2 linked regions of the Lonchura striata genome follow. Each later gene encodes a partner of the first gene's protein in a complex. Links are inferred from orthologs where the notes say so. Each region holds a gene or a part of one and is shown in the gene's direction. Other genes may lie near its edges.

Region 1 (6,979 bases):
TAAAGCTGTAGAAATCAGAAAGGACATAGCAGGTGATGGAATGCAGAAAAATTCATATTAACTCCATGTATTTTCATTATTCCTACCTGTGGCATAGAATTACCTGGAAAATAGAATCCTTGTACATTGTAAACCCTTTAAATTGGTCTAGGTTTCTAAAAATAATTGGTTTCTTTAAATTTCTGTGGAGAGATTTTATATTTGAAGGAGTTTTTTTCTGACTGACATGTGAAACTGAGGATAGTGCGTGCTAAGAGTACGCTTGTCTCTAATTTAGCAGCTGGATTCGAAAGCTTGAATTATCTCTGCATAATTGCAATGATTAATGGATTGTTAGGAAATTGCAAAGTATTGATTGAATTTTCCCCTTAGGAAATATTTCTCCTCTGATAAAACACAGTTCTGGGCCTTTGCTTTTGTCCTTCCTGCTTTCTGCCCCAGGAAAGCCAGGGGCTGCTTTTATCCAGGAAATGGGAATTTGGGTCAACAGCCCTTCAAGGACAATTTTGAATTATTGTGATTTCCAATCCCAAATCTTCTCTGAGCTTTGCAAAGAGATGGATTTGCAAAGTGTGAACAGGGATTTCCGAGCCAGAAAAGCTTTTTCTTTTTTTGCTGGGACCAGCAGCAAATACTGGCCATCCCTGTTTCACATTCTGCCATTTCCATGTCAAATACCACCAGTGTGCTCTGCAAAAACATCTTGACCTTGTTGTGGGAATGCCACACCCATCAAGGCTGGTGGTAAATTTTCCACTTTATTAGGCCAGGATTACTCTGGGGGATCTCAGGAGTTGGTGGGAAGAGGGAAGTGGAGAATGAAGTGAGAATTGGATGCAGGGAGATCTTGATGCACAGTGCCTGGGGCTGGGCAGCTGAGACCTGGAAGCCCTGACACACATCTGCACCTTAATGGTGCTGGGCTCTTTTTGGCAGCTGCTCTGGGAATTTCCAGAACAGACCCATAAATACACAGTTATGAGTGTGACCTCTGCTTCTTTCTTTGCTAAATTGACCAGCCAAGGCCCAGCTGAGTATCATCCCTTGTCTCTGCTCCAGTTGCTTGGGATGTGCTGCCTCTGCAAATGGTTCTGCCTAAGTCAGGAATTATGAGAGCGTGCTAATTCAAGGTTTGCCATGAATTTAGTGTTCCTGCAAGGATGACACTAATGGCAATTAATGCAGCAGAAATGCCAGTGCTGAGTGACTGTTCTCACAATAAAAGCTGTCAGTTGGAGAGCACAGTCTCTGTTATTCCAGCCTGACCTCTGCTTTCTGGCTGTGTTTCCTGTGCACAGCAGGTGTCCCAGGCCGTCCCATCTCTGCAGCAATTCACTCTGGGAGGGGACACAGGGAAAGAGCAGAGCAGCCCAAACCAGCCTGTGCTGACAGTGACATTTCCTGAGGCTTTGGATATTCTCCTCTGTGGCTTGAATAGCAACAAAATTAACCCAGAACTGAACAGGATATAAGACTTTAATTTCTGGAGCTCCTTGCTAGTTCAATGCTCTCCTCATGTCCTGCTCTGTTGATTCCTGTTTAGACACAGAGCTCTTTCTACTGTTTCAGTTTTCACCGTGAAGAATCTGATTTTAAATGTCAATTGCATTCAAACAGGCTTAGCTAGAAGTAATCCCTGCTGCTGCCCAATTCCATAGCAATCTGCACAACTAGTCATGTTTTGCTAAAAAAAATCAATGGTAAAAATGTCTTTGCTTTACAATGGCTCAAGTTCAACAAGTGACAGTGCTGCAGCAGTGTGGGGATTGTGATTTTTACCTAAGCCAGAAGAGCCACTGTCCTCACTCTGTGCCCTAAACTCTTGCACAGGGTAAGTCAGTTCCAGATGAGGAACATCTGCAATGTGATGCAAGAGGAAGTAATGCTTGCACACATGAAAAATGTAAATAAAGGGTGTTTCTAGGCTCACAAACACAATCCAAAGCATGAAAAGGAGAACAGCTCTTACAGGAGAATAACTAGAGGTACTTAATCTGTGTTATTTTAAGGCTTTTTAGCTCTAAAAGCAGTTCTGGAGGATGAAACCAGGTCTGAGAAACATCAAGTGAAAATTAATAGCTTTTTAACAACAAAGTTTAATGGACAAGTGCAAATAGGATATGAGATAGAAACCTGAGCTCCTGAATTATAAATATACCCAGCCTCTACACAGGCAAGTATCTGTTATCTATTTGATGTACTACTCAATGCCGGGGGATTGAGAAAGGCAGGAGCTGGATGAGCATTTTCAGGTTCAAAATTTTGTGTATTCTGGGTTTAGCTGGAGATAAAAAGGATGAATCCAACACAGATGCCTATAGCCCTCACCACTACACTACCCCCTGTGAGGAGCTGGAGGTGCAGGGCACATCAGAGGCTGGCAGCAGGGTGTGGGTGAGCCCAGACTGTGATGCCTCTGTGACCTGTGGAGGGACACGCTGCAGTCACCCTTCAGGTGTCTTTGTTATTAATGTTTGTTTTCCCCACTTGGAAGCTCTGAGGCAGCATGAAAGATTTCTCTTTAAATGCAGAGGATCACGTTCTGGCTCGTTATGGTGCCAGCAGACGGTAACTGCTGCACAGCACTGCTGCTGATGCCTGGGGGTTACTTTCCACACGCAGGAATGATGACACAGCCACTGACTGCAGTGATGGCAAACACGCTGCTGCTGAGGGCAGGCTGGTGGGAAAGAGCAGTTTTAAGGGATTCTGTTTAATCATCTGGACACAAGTGCTATTTTTATCCTCTGTTGTTTGTATCTCAAGCCTGCACCAGGAGAAGCTGATGACAAAGTTGGTGTCTGCCATGGCACAGGGGAGACAAGGGGAACCGGACACCTTTTGGGAAGGGAGAAGCAGGGTGGGCAGGTGTGGCAGTGGGAAAGGGGCCTGTGCTCATGGCTTTTTTGCACCTTATGAGCTGAAAGAGCTTGTTGGCCTCTCTAATACCTCCACAAGCTCATATGACTCTCTCAGCTCAGTTCACAGGAGGGATCTTCTTGGGGGACTTCCCATCGACCAACCCCAAGTTCCCCTGTGCTAGTGGGTGGCTTTGGGATGAGCCAGTGCCTGCCCATGGAGGCAGGAGAAGGGCACCCACCCCATGGTGGGGGTTAAAGTTGGTGGGCTCCAGGCAAGAGGTGAGGTGAGATTATCACAGTGTGTGAAGAGGCCCAGGGAGCTCGGAGCATGCCCAGCCATCACTTGGGCACAGGATTCCGGGTAGCTCAGTGTGCCCATCCATCCTTTGGGAATAGGCTCAGAGATCCTGGAGGGAGCGTGCCTGGGCATTGAGTACAGGAATCCGGAGAGCTCAGTGTACCCATCCATCCTTTGGGAATAGGCTCAGAGATCCTGGATGGACTGTGCCTGGGCATTGAGTACAGGGATCCGGAGAGCTCAGTGTGCCCATCCATCCTTTGGGAATAGGCTCAGAGATCCTGGATGGACTGTGCCTGGGCTGTACAGGAGTACAGGAGTCCGGGGAACTCAGTGTGCCCATCCATCCTTTGGGAATAGGCTCAGAGATCCTGGAGGGAGCGTGCCTGGGCATTGAGTACAGGGATCCGGAGAGCTCAGTGTGCCCATCCATCCTTTGGGCACAGGGACTCCTCAGAGAAGCCCGAGCATCGTTTGGGCACACAAAGCCGAAAAGAAATAAAAGCGAACTGGGGGTAGAAAAGATTCAGGTTCCACCGAGATTTGAACTCGGATCGCTGGATTCAGAGTCCAGAGTGCTAACCATTACACCATGGAACCGCTCTGCCACCACCCCCTCCCGGCTGCCCCTAGTTCCTCGCGCCGCTCGCCGCCGCAGCGCGGCCGCTCCCTCAGGGCGGCGGAGGGGGCTCGGCGCTGGGGGCTCCGGGGCCGGGCGGGACCCCCGCCCGCCGGGCCCCGCTGAGGGCGCGGCCGCGGCGCTGCCTCGGGCGCGGTCGTGCGGCGGCGCCGCTGCCCCGGAAGCGCCTGTGGGCGGGCGGGCGGAGCGCGGAGGGCGGAAGAGCTGCGGCGGCTGCAGGGAGGGTCCGGCCCCGCTCCGCTGCGCTCCCGGTCCCGCTCCTCCGCCACCCGCCATGGGCACCCGCGACGACGAGTACGATTATCTCTTCAAAGGTGAGGCGGGCAGGGCGGGAGAGCGGCGGGGCCCGCGGGCGCGGCCCGGCGGGTGCGGGAGCGCTCCGGGCACCGCCGGGCCCCGCTCGGGTGTCCGGCCCTCCCTCACGCACAATGCCAGCTCCGGGCCGGCGGATTTGGTGCCAGCGCCCGCCCGAGGCCGCCCCGGCACGGTCTGCGGGGTGGCGAGCAGAGATCGCCAGGAAGGATGCCCAGGGCTGAAAAGGACTCCTCAAGGTTGACAAGAACCTTTCCAGCTGTTAAATAGAGCTTTAGAGTGGGCGAGATATACTCAGCATTGATAAATGATGCGCTCATTTAATCAAATAGTACTCCTTGCTGCCTTCTGTGTTCAGAGCCCATGGCGAGGAGTGGAATGTCCCTGCTGCTCCACGCCCAGAGATCATAAAATCCTCCTGCAATCATGGAATGGTTTGAGTGGGAAGGGACCTTAAGATGATCGCATTCCAAGCCCCTGCCATGGGCAGGGACACCTTCCACTGTCCCAGGTTGCTCCAAGCCCCGTCCAGCCTGGCCTTGCTCTGTCCTGGCTCCCCCAGGGAAGGGCAGGAATGCCGTCATTCCCAGGGCTGATGCCCCTGCAGTCTGCGATGCGGTGGCAAGTCGGATTAAAACCTCCCAGGTTGTTGTTAAATATTCAATTTTCACTCCCTGCAGAGTAAAACACCGGCCTGCTGGACAGGTTCATGTGGCCTGCTGTGAAATGTGTACAGAAGTGCTGATATTTTGAAAGTTGACTATCCAGTTTTTAAAATCCCACTGTAAAAGCAAGCAAAGTAGTGTAAAAAAGTAGTTGTTTATTGTGATGTGATATTGTAAATTTGAATTTAGGATTAAGAGCATTACTTGTGTTTTAATGGTGGCAGACCCTGTGCTTGTCCTCACAAAGGTAAAATATTGATGTTTTTTTCTGTACCTTTAAGCTCCTGTAATAACTTTGAGGAATTACATTTTTTTTGTTGTTGTTGGCTGTTTTGTCCAGTTGCATGTGGAAAGTGCCATTATTTCTACCTATAAATCAGACATCTGTACTGTTATGGAAAGCAAATCAGGAAGGTCCAGAATGAGCTCTTTTCTCAGCTTGCAGCCCTGGCAAGGACCTTGCTGACCACTGTTTTAATGGCATCAGGCAATGTTGTTGTAGGTACAGGTTATCAAAGCCATTGAATTCCCATTGTTCTTGCAGTTCTGTCAGTGGGCTTGTAATTAATGTTCTAGCTGTGGAAGCCTGGGAATATCAGTGACACAGAGTTTATTGGGAGAGCTCCTATCTTTCATTTGGCCTGCTTCCTTTTCTAGTTGGGAAAATATAAAGTTGGAATCCAGTTATAGAGAGAAGTGCAAAGCTGATTTAATTGATTGCCTTTGCTAAAGCGTTTTCTGTTCAGCTTGGTTTATGGAAGCCATTGAGGGTGCAGGGAATGCTGTCAAAATGCTGTTGTGAAAATAAATGATTTGGATTTTTCCAGCCTAAAGTGGACTGCAGGAAGTTGATGCAATGTCTGTCACTTAACTGGGATTGATGTGGCAGCTGAAATAACACAAAAATGCAGAATAATGAAACTGTGGAAACTTTTGTAACTTCCCAGAGGTGATGGTGGTTCTAAACAAGCTGTCACCACTCTGGAATGATCTGGAAATTACTGCAAGGAGATCTCTGAACTGAATGTCTTTTGCCAGGCACTGGTCAAAAAGGCTAGGGGTAAATATAGGTAAATATTTTGGAAAAGGAAGTGGGAACTTGGGGAGAGCGTTAAGTCAGTGCTTGAATTTGAGACATGAGCTTCTTGGGAATTGAGGTGATGTGTAGCCATGACAGACATAACCATTTTGAAAGGGATGTTGTAGAATTAAAAAGATGGAGAAAGGCATCAAAATGATCAGAAAAGAGACCTAATGGATTCATAGTCCTTATACTCAATTGATGTACAGCTTGATTAAAATTTAAACAGTGAGTGATAAGGGCAAATAGGGTAAGTTTCTCCTGTTTGTCGTAATTTCTCTGGATATCTGTAATGCTTCTTTTATTGGGTAGCGGGTGAAAGCAAATGGACAAAATCCCTCAGGTGTGTATGCAAATTTTGGAGTGATGCATTGCCATGCATATTGTAAATGGATTTGAAAGCCTGCACAAATTCATAGAAGCAAAAAATCTTGTTTGGGGTGTGTCAGTGTGACAGTTACGATGGCAAGTCTGAAGGCATTGCTTATTTGAAGATGCAGGGGCTGGCTAGGACAGAGATTAGCCTGTTTGCTGTGATGCACATCAGGGTTTTTGGACATCAGTTATTTGGAGTCAGACTCTGGGTGTTGGCCTGTCAGGACACTTCATCCAGCAGGACATTTCTGAGTTTCTTAAGGGACTGTATGGGTCGGTTGGTGGGACTGAGTTCAGAGTTTAACCTGGTTAAAACAATCATGTGATCTTCTCTAGTCTGGCTGTTTTTTACTGTTCCTGGGCTGAACTGCCACGTTTCTGTTTGTGAGACCTCTGGTTTTGTCCTGACTGCAGCTGTGTGTTGAAATCTGGTTGACTCTGCTGCTGGGTGAAAGCTGAGCCCACCTGTGCTGCTGTACAGTAAAATCCAGGGACCTGTTACAAAATACACTTCTCCTGACTGTGTTGCAACACTTCAGCATATAGGAAGGACTAAACCTAGCTTGATAAAAAACAGTTTCTGTTAAATTCTTCTCGTCCAGCTTCCAGTCTTTGTATTCTTCCATACTTTCACGGTCTGGCTGAGAGCAGTGCCTGCTGTTCCCAGAATGGCCCCTGAGGAAACACAAGGCCTATGAAGTACAGTTCATATAAATCTTGCTCTCATTTTAGTAGGAGGAAAATATA
Region 2 (6,878 bases), on another chromosome or scaffold:
ACCATGACTCTCCCAGGGCATGGCTGCTGTAGCAGTGGGTGCACTGTCCTCATGGATAGTCCTTGGGATGAGCAGAACCTGCTGGATTTTCCCTTTGAGCCCGGCTTGTGACGTGGTGTCTTGTGGATGTTTGTCCAGACACCTCTGAGATTCCCCCAAAGCAACACAATGCCCATTTTCTGTGCCCCAGCAGCAGGATTGAGCACAGAGAATCCCAAGAGCCTCTTCCTTTCATGAATTCCTGCAGCCTGGCAGGGGAAGGGGTCTCCTGCCTTCCTCTCCTCCCTGCCTGTGTCCCACCTGGCAGCCTCCAGGAGCTGGGCAGGCCCCAGCAGGGCTCTGTCCCCACCTCCACCCTCTCTTGCAGATGTCTGGGCTGCGGGAGCAAACCAACCCCACTGACGGACAGCCTGGGACTGACTGACGGACAGATGTGACATGGGACACCGTGTGGGGACATCTCCCAGAGCCAGTGCTGACAGCCACAGCCTCTCCTCGGCCACTGGTGGTACTGGTGACGCTGCCAGTCCCATGTCTGCCTGAGGGACACAGCTCTGGGTGCTGGGTGGGGACCAAGGCCACCCCCATCCTGTGCCATTGCTGCCTTCTGAGCTGGCCTGGCTGTGGGTGCACAGACAGCTGGGAGGGCTGAGGTGGTCTCTGGCCCTTTGTGGCTCCCTCCAAGCTGCTCTGGTGGCCTTTCCCAAGCCTCCAGCAGTGCCACCCGTGGGTACCCATCCTCTTAGTCCCCTCTCCCCTGTCTTACCCTGAGAACTTCACGAGACCCCCAGCAGCAGCTCCTTTTTGGGAGGGGAAGCAGCTCAGCCCGCCTGGGGTCACCCAGCGTGGTGGGCTCAGTTCTGCCCTGGCAACTCTTGGAGGGGAAACCCTGGCAGGGGGAGGTGGCTGTGTCCCCTGAGGGGTCCTGGGTGGGACAGTGGTCCTGGGAGGCTGCCAGGGATGCAGCTGGGATGCCCCTGCAGGAGCAGAGGTGGTGTGAGGGCAGATCCCCCAGGTCCAGTTCTGCACTGCAGTGTCCAGTGGTCTGTCCACACCCGTCTGTCTGTCACACCAGTGTCATGCTGTCTCCTTCTGCTCAAGCTGAGGCAAAGTGAAGGGCTCGAACTGGAATCTAGTCCTTTCCTCCTGCTGGGCTGCAGGAGGCACAGCAGGGCTGCACGGGTGGCACTGCTGGAGCCAGCCCTGTTCCTGGTGCTGGCACCCCAGGGGACACACGCTGCTCATGTGCACCCTCCTGCTGCTGCTGGTAGTTCGTAGGCTCACCCTGGATTCCATGAAGCTTGTTTTCCCATTTGATTTCCTATTTGATTGTAGACTTGCCAGGTTTTACCCCTCCCTCCAGGCCACCAATAAAGAATTTTCCCCCTGAGCAGTGATGCCTCTCTCTGCTGCAGGAGCACCAGTGCCCTGCTCAGCTGACTGGTCCAAACTGGGTGCTGAGGGAGGGGGAAAAGCCACTGCTCCCACTGCCAGGGCCTTGTGTGGCTCCAGTCCTTGGCTCTGTGGTGCCTCAGTGCTCCAGGCCACGGGGCTTGGGGACCTGCCAGCTCCTCATCCCCAGGGGCTCTGGGAAGGTGGTTCCAGAGGTGGTGGGAGGTGCTGAGGGCTTTGGTGAGAGGCTCAGCCCTTCACGGGGACAGGGATGCAGTGCTTGGGCTGGAGTCTGGGTGGATCCTTAGTCTGGGATGTGGCTCCAGCTGCAGTGTTCTCTTGCTGGATCCCAGGATGTGTTTTCTCCTGGGGAAGGTTCCTGTGTGCTGTGTGTTGGCCCTTCTGCCCAGCTGCAGCCTTGTCTCTGGGAGGCTCCATGGATTTTGCTGTTCCACCATGCCCAGGTGACCTGGGCACTGTCAGGGCTGTCCTGGCTCCGTGGCCACCCCAGGAAGGAGCTGAGCTTGTGTCTCCAGCAGCAGGGGAAGGACAGAGCTCCGGGCCCAGCCTTGGCATAGCCCGGAGCTTCAGGAACCCACCCAGGGGTGCAGAGCTGCCTCTCACAGCATCAGGCTGGCACCTCATGCCCTGCCAGCCCCGTCCGTGCAGGAACCCTGGCTGCTGGAGCTGTCTGGAAGCTGGGAATTGCCCAGGGGATGGCTGAGGCAGGTGCTGCTGTGCTTCCCCTGTGGGGCTGACCAAGGAGCTCCCTACTGCCCTGCTCACCTTTAGGAATGGCTGTGCTGAGGAGGAGGATTTGGAATGAAGGATCTGGAGGATTTGTGGGGCTGACCAAGGAGCCCCATCCTGCCCAGCGCTGGGCTGACTGGACAGGGGTGACCTCTCTCTGGGGATGCTGCTGAGCTCTGGCTCTTGGGCTGAGTGTGCTGGGGGTCACACTGTGGCCCAACCAGGCTGCTCATGAGATGTCACACACATCCGTGACCTGGGCAGGGTCACTGGGGCCAAGGATGCTCCTGCTCATCAAGTTTGCTGCTAATTATACCCAGGGGCTGTAATTCCACACGCTGGGCAGCTCAGGAGTGTGTTAGTGGGGTCATCCACAGAACCTCCATCAATGAACCCATTGATGAGGTGCCAGGGCTGTCCCGGTGCTCAGCTCCCCCCGGAGCACTCGGGCATCCCGGGGCACAGTGCTGCCCCACTGGGGTTGGGGGTCCCAGCTCCTCTCCCCAAGGGATTTGGGGTTCCAGTGCACAGTTCACACCTGAAGCAGCTGGGCAGTGCCATTGCGCAGTTCCCCCCACAGAGATTTGGGGTCCCAGAGTGAGGTTTGGGTTTGGGGTCCCAGAGCATGGTTTGGGGTCCTGGAGCACAGTTTGGGTTTGGGGTTCCCAAGCGCGGTTTGGTTTTGGGGTCCCAAAGCAGGGTTTGGGTTTGGGGTCCCAGAGCACGGTTTGGGGTCCTGGAGCACAGTTTGGGTTTGGGGTTCCCAAACGCGGTTTGGGTTTGGGGTCCTGAAGCACAGTTTGGGTTTGGGGTCCCAGAGCACGGTTTGGGTTTGGGGTCCTAGAGCACGGTTTGGGATCCCGGAGCAGGGTTTGATTTTGGGGTCCTGGAGCGCAGTCTGGGTTTGGGGTCCTAGAGCATAGTTTGGGATCCCGGAACGCTGTTTGGGTTTGGGCTCCCGGAGCAGGCTGTGGGGTCCCGGAGCAGGGTGTGGGGTCCCGGAGCAGGGTGTGGGGTCCCGGAGCAGGGTTCGGGGTCCCGGAGCAGGGTTCGGGTGTGGGGTCCCGGAGCAGGGTTTGGGGTCCCGGAGCAGGGTTCGGGTTCGGGGTCCCGGAGCAGGGTTCGGGGTCCCGGAGCAGGGTGTGGGGTCCCGGAGCAGGGTTCGGGGTCCCGGAGCAGGGTTTGGGGTCCTGGAGCAGGGTTCGGGGTCCCGGAGCAGGGTTCGGGTTCGGGGTCCCGGAGCAGGGTTTGGGGTCCCGGAGCAGGGTTCGGGTGTGGGGTCCCGGAGCAGGGTTTGTTTCCCAGCAGGGGGATCTGGGGGTCCCCGCTCACAGCGCCCCCCGGCCCCACGTGCTCGCGCTCCGCCGGCCCCGCCCCCGCCGCGCGCGCCCGGGGAGGGGGCGTGGCCTCGGTCGGGCTCGCGCCGCGGAGGGGCGGGGCGGACCGGCAGGCGAGTGACGTCACCGCCCCGGCTACTGCGGCGGCGGGGCTGGAGCTGCCGCTGGTCCGCGGCGGCCCCGGAGCGGCGGCGCGGGCGGGCGGCCGGTGGGGTTGTTCCTCGGCGCCGCCGCCGCCTCCCCCAACCCCCGATCCCGGCCAGGACCCGCAGCCCCGGCGCTCGGAGCCGCCGCTCCCCGCGCTCGGAGCCGCCGCTCCCCGCGCAGGGCGGGACCGGCGGGGCCGCCCCCGGTGTCGGCGGGCGGGGCCGGCGTTCCTCGCACAAAGCCGTGAGTGCCGCGGGGACCGTACCGGTACCGGCACCGCCCCGATGTGAGCGGGGCATGGCCGCGGGGCATGGCCCGGGTCGGGCGGCGGTGGGCGCGCAGCGCCGGCGGTGAAGATGGAGCCGCGTCCGCCTGGGACCGAGCCCCCGCTGCCCCGGGGGCCGGGACCCGGGCCCGAGCCGGAGCTGGAACCGGAACCAGAACCCGAGCTAGAGCTGGAACCGGAGCCGGACCTGGACGTGCAGCGGGAACCGGAGCCGGAGCTGGAACCAGAACCCGAGCTGGAGCTGGAACCGGAACCGGAGCTGGAACCAGAACCCGAGCTGGAGCTGGAGCTGGAACCAGAACCCGAGCTGGAGCTGGAGCTGGAACCGGAACCGGAGCTGGAACCAGAACCCGAGCTGGAGCTGGAACCGGAGCCGGAGCTGGAACCGGAGCCGGAGCTAGAACCAGAACCCGAGCTGGAGCTGGAACCGGAGCCGGAGCTGGAACCGGAGCCGGGGCTGGAAGAGGAGGCGGACCTGGGCCCGGAGCTGGATCTGGACCTCTGGGCACTTGAGCCCGCCGCTCCCGGCGCGGGGCCGCCGCCCTGGTGCCCGGGGGAGGCCGGGGACAGCCCGGGGAGCCCCGCCGAGCCCCCGCCGGAGGAGGAGCCGCGCCTCCGCCCGGTCTTCGACGCCCTGGACCGGGACGGCGATGGCTTCGTGCGCGTGGAGGAGTTCGTGCAGTTCGCCACGGCCTACGGCGCCGAGCAGGTGAGCACCGGGCACCGCACCTGCCCACCGCGGGGCCCGGGCCGGGGCACCGGCCGTGGCGGCACCGCTTGTTGCCCGGTGCCCCGCCGCCCGAGGCTGATGGTGGTGGTGGCTTCTGCCCGGCCTCCGGCCCTTGGAGAGCTCCGTGTCCCCAAGGCCGGCGCTGGCATCCCGTCGCCGCGGGTGAAGGGCACGCGTGGCTCCCGGAGCTGCCGTGCTCCGGGGGAGCGGCGCCGCCGGCTGCCCGCAGCTCTTTGTTCTGCAGCGCTGCCGCCCCGGGGCTCGCCGGGCAGCGGCACATCCCGGCCCGGGGGCTGCTCCGTGCCAACCCTGCTGACCCCGGCTCACCCCATAACGGGGAGCATCCCTGCCCGCGGGTTGGAACGAGGTGATCCTTCAGGGCCTTCCCAACGCAGACCATTCCCTGCTTCCCTGCTTCCTCGCTTGTCCCGGCTTTGACAGCTCGAATGAGGATTTCCCCCATCCTGCTGCTTTGTGCCCTGCCCAGCCGGTGTTCCCCTGCAGCAGATCACGGGCGATGTAATTTGAAGCTGACTAAAAATGGAGCAAGCTCCGGCAGCGCTCACCAGGGGATGGAGATGGATTTCTTGGTGTTTAGTGCATTGGCCTGGGCTGGCATCGCTACCAGGAAAAGAAAATTTATTTTTTTAAGGAATGCAGGTATTGCTGTGAAGTTTTCCCTGTGCCTGCCCGGATCTGCTCTCGTTCTCCATCCGTGGCAGCTGCGCGGGTATTTAAGTGCCATGACAAAGCAAATCATGTGTGAAGGAGGCTTTTGATGGAGGAGAGCTTTTTATCCCTGTCCTTGTGCCAGAAACACCTCTCAAAGATAAAACAGAGATATTTATTTTAGAAAAATAGCCCTGCAAAGTGGAGACAGGGAAGACAGGGAACTTCTTGGTGTTGCAGAAGGGTGCAGAGGGTTGCTCTGTGTGTGCAGAGGGTCTCTAGGTGTGAGCTCAGGTACCTCGGCTGCTCCTGCCTGTGCCAGCAGAGAGGCTTGATTCCTAAATCCTCTCTCCTGCCCTGCCTGGGCCAGGCTCCTGTGCCACCGCTCCGGTGTCCCACTGCTGTCCCCAGCAGAGGAGACAGGAGCAGACAGCCCACGGAGGCTCCTGCACACGGTGCCACCTCCCGGGGGACTGTTTGCCTTTGTGTCCTTCGGCGTGGAGCAGCCCAAGGACGTGGGAAATGGGGACAGGAGGTGGCGTGTGCGTGGCAGGGGACGTGGCGGGTGGCTCTGGGTGTGCAGCTCAGCCTGGCGGTGCCGGTGTCGGCGTGGGGATGGTGCCAGAGCTCCAGAGGGGCCTCACTGAGCCTGGAAAACACCCTCAGACCATGGCTGGGGAGTGGCTGTGGGCTGCTCAGGTCACCCCAAAGCTCAGGAGGTTTTGTGCTGTTGGATAGTGTCTGTCCACATGGATCCGTCTGGGAAGGGGCTCTCTGCAGGCTCCCCGTTCCGGCCTGCTGAGCACAGCTAATGCTGCCATAAATGATGCTTTGAAAACCCATTTCTCTTCAGCAAGAGGCTCTGGCGTGCAGGACAGCTGGGTGCTGGCACAGCGGGTGCTGAGCCCCTTGGGGAGGTTGGTGTGGCAATGCCTGAGCCAGCAGGTCCTGGGCACTCCAGGGGACTGGCAGAGGGGGAAAGGTGATGCCTGTGTGTGCAGGAGGACTTGGTGTGAGTCTGCAGCTTAGAAAGGACCAGGACACGCTGAGGGAGGGCGAGAAGGGGTTGGTGATGGGGTCTGTGAGCTCTCAGCAGATCATATTTGTTCCTCATTAACTGCCCTTTGTGATTACCCAGGCAGCCACCACACCCCGACCCCTCTCTCGCAGCATCCCAGTTCTGGTTGTGGCACAACCTCTATTTACACCTTCAGGTCCCATTTAGTGGGAAGGGTCCCACAGGAATCACTGGGTCCAGACACCCCAGCAATCCCACCCTGGGCATCCCTGAGATCATTGTCCAAACCCTCCTGGAGCTCTGGCAGCCTTGGGGCTGTGCCTGTTCCCTGGGGAGCCTGGGCAGTGCCCAGCACCTCTGGGGGAAGAACCTTTCCTCATCTCCAACCTGAGCCCCCTGATTCATGGAATAATAAAGGAAGGAGTCCTGGGGAAGTTCCTTGACCTGTCTTTCATGAGGCAGCTGGAACCTGGACCCAGAGTGGATCTTCTAGAAAACAGAGATCAGCTCAGGTGGGAGTTAAAGGGGAGGAACATCCCCGGTGGTAAA

The links. Proteins that work in one complex are often made in the same cells at the same time.
Region 2: the proteins of RAB11A (region 1) and RAB11FIP3 are in contact, whole or in part, in a crystal structure (PDB 2HV8), measured with the Homo sapiens proteins. The link is inferred for Lonchura striata from reciprocal best matches to the Homo sapiens genes RAB11A and RAB11FIP3. Residues at the interface, in NP_004654.1 of Homo sapiens: Arg33, Ile44, Gly45, Val46, Glu47, Phe48, Ala49, Thr50, Trp65, Arg72, Arg74, Ala75, Ile76, Ala79, Tyr80, Arg82; in NP_055515.1 of Homo sapiens: Asn731, Phe732, Gln735, Ile738, Asp739, Arg740, Ile742, Val743, Met746, Glu747, Pro750, Ser751, Leu753, Glu754, Val755, Lys756.

Annotation. Positions count from the first base shown.
Region 1 is NC_134613.1:22,382,989-22,389,967, forward strand, and holds the start of RAB11A (ras-related protein Rab-11A), read left to right. Parts: upstream 1-3,961; 5' UTR 3,962-4,073; coding exon 4,074-4,113; intron 4,114-6,979. UniProt on the Homo sapiens protein: The small GTPases Rab are key regulators of intracellular membrane trafficking, from the formation of transport vesicles to their fusion with membranes.
Region 2 is NC_134618.1:3,317,934-3,324,811, reverse strand, and holds the start of RAB11FIP3 (rab11 family-interacting protein 3), read left to right. Parts: upstream 1-3,876; 5' UTR 3,877-3,982; coding exon 3,983-4,621; intron 4,622-6,878. Other genes in the region: DECR2 (peroxisomal 2,4-dienoyl-CoA reductase [(3E)-enoyl-CoA-producing]), read left to right, coding at 368-402. UniProt on the Homo sapiens protein: Downstream effector molecule for Rab11 GTPase which is involved in endocytic trafficking, cytokinesis and intracellular ciliogenesis by participating in membrane delivery. Recruited by Rab11 to endosomes where it links Rab11 to dynein motor complex.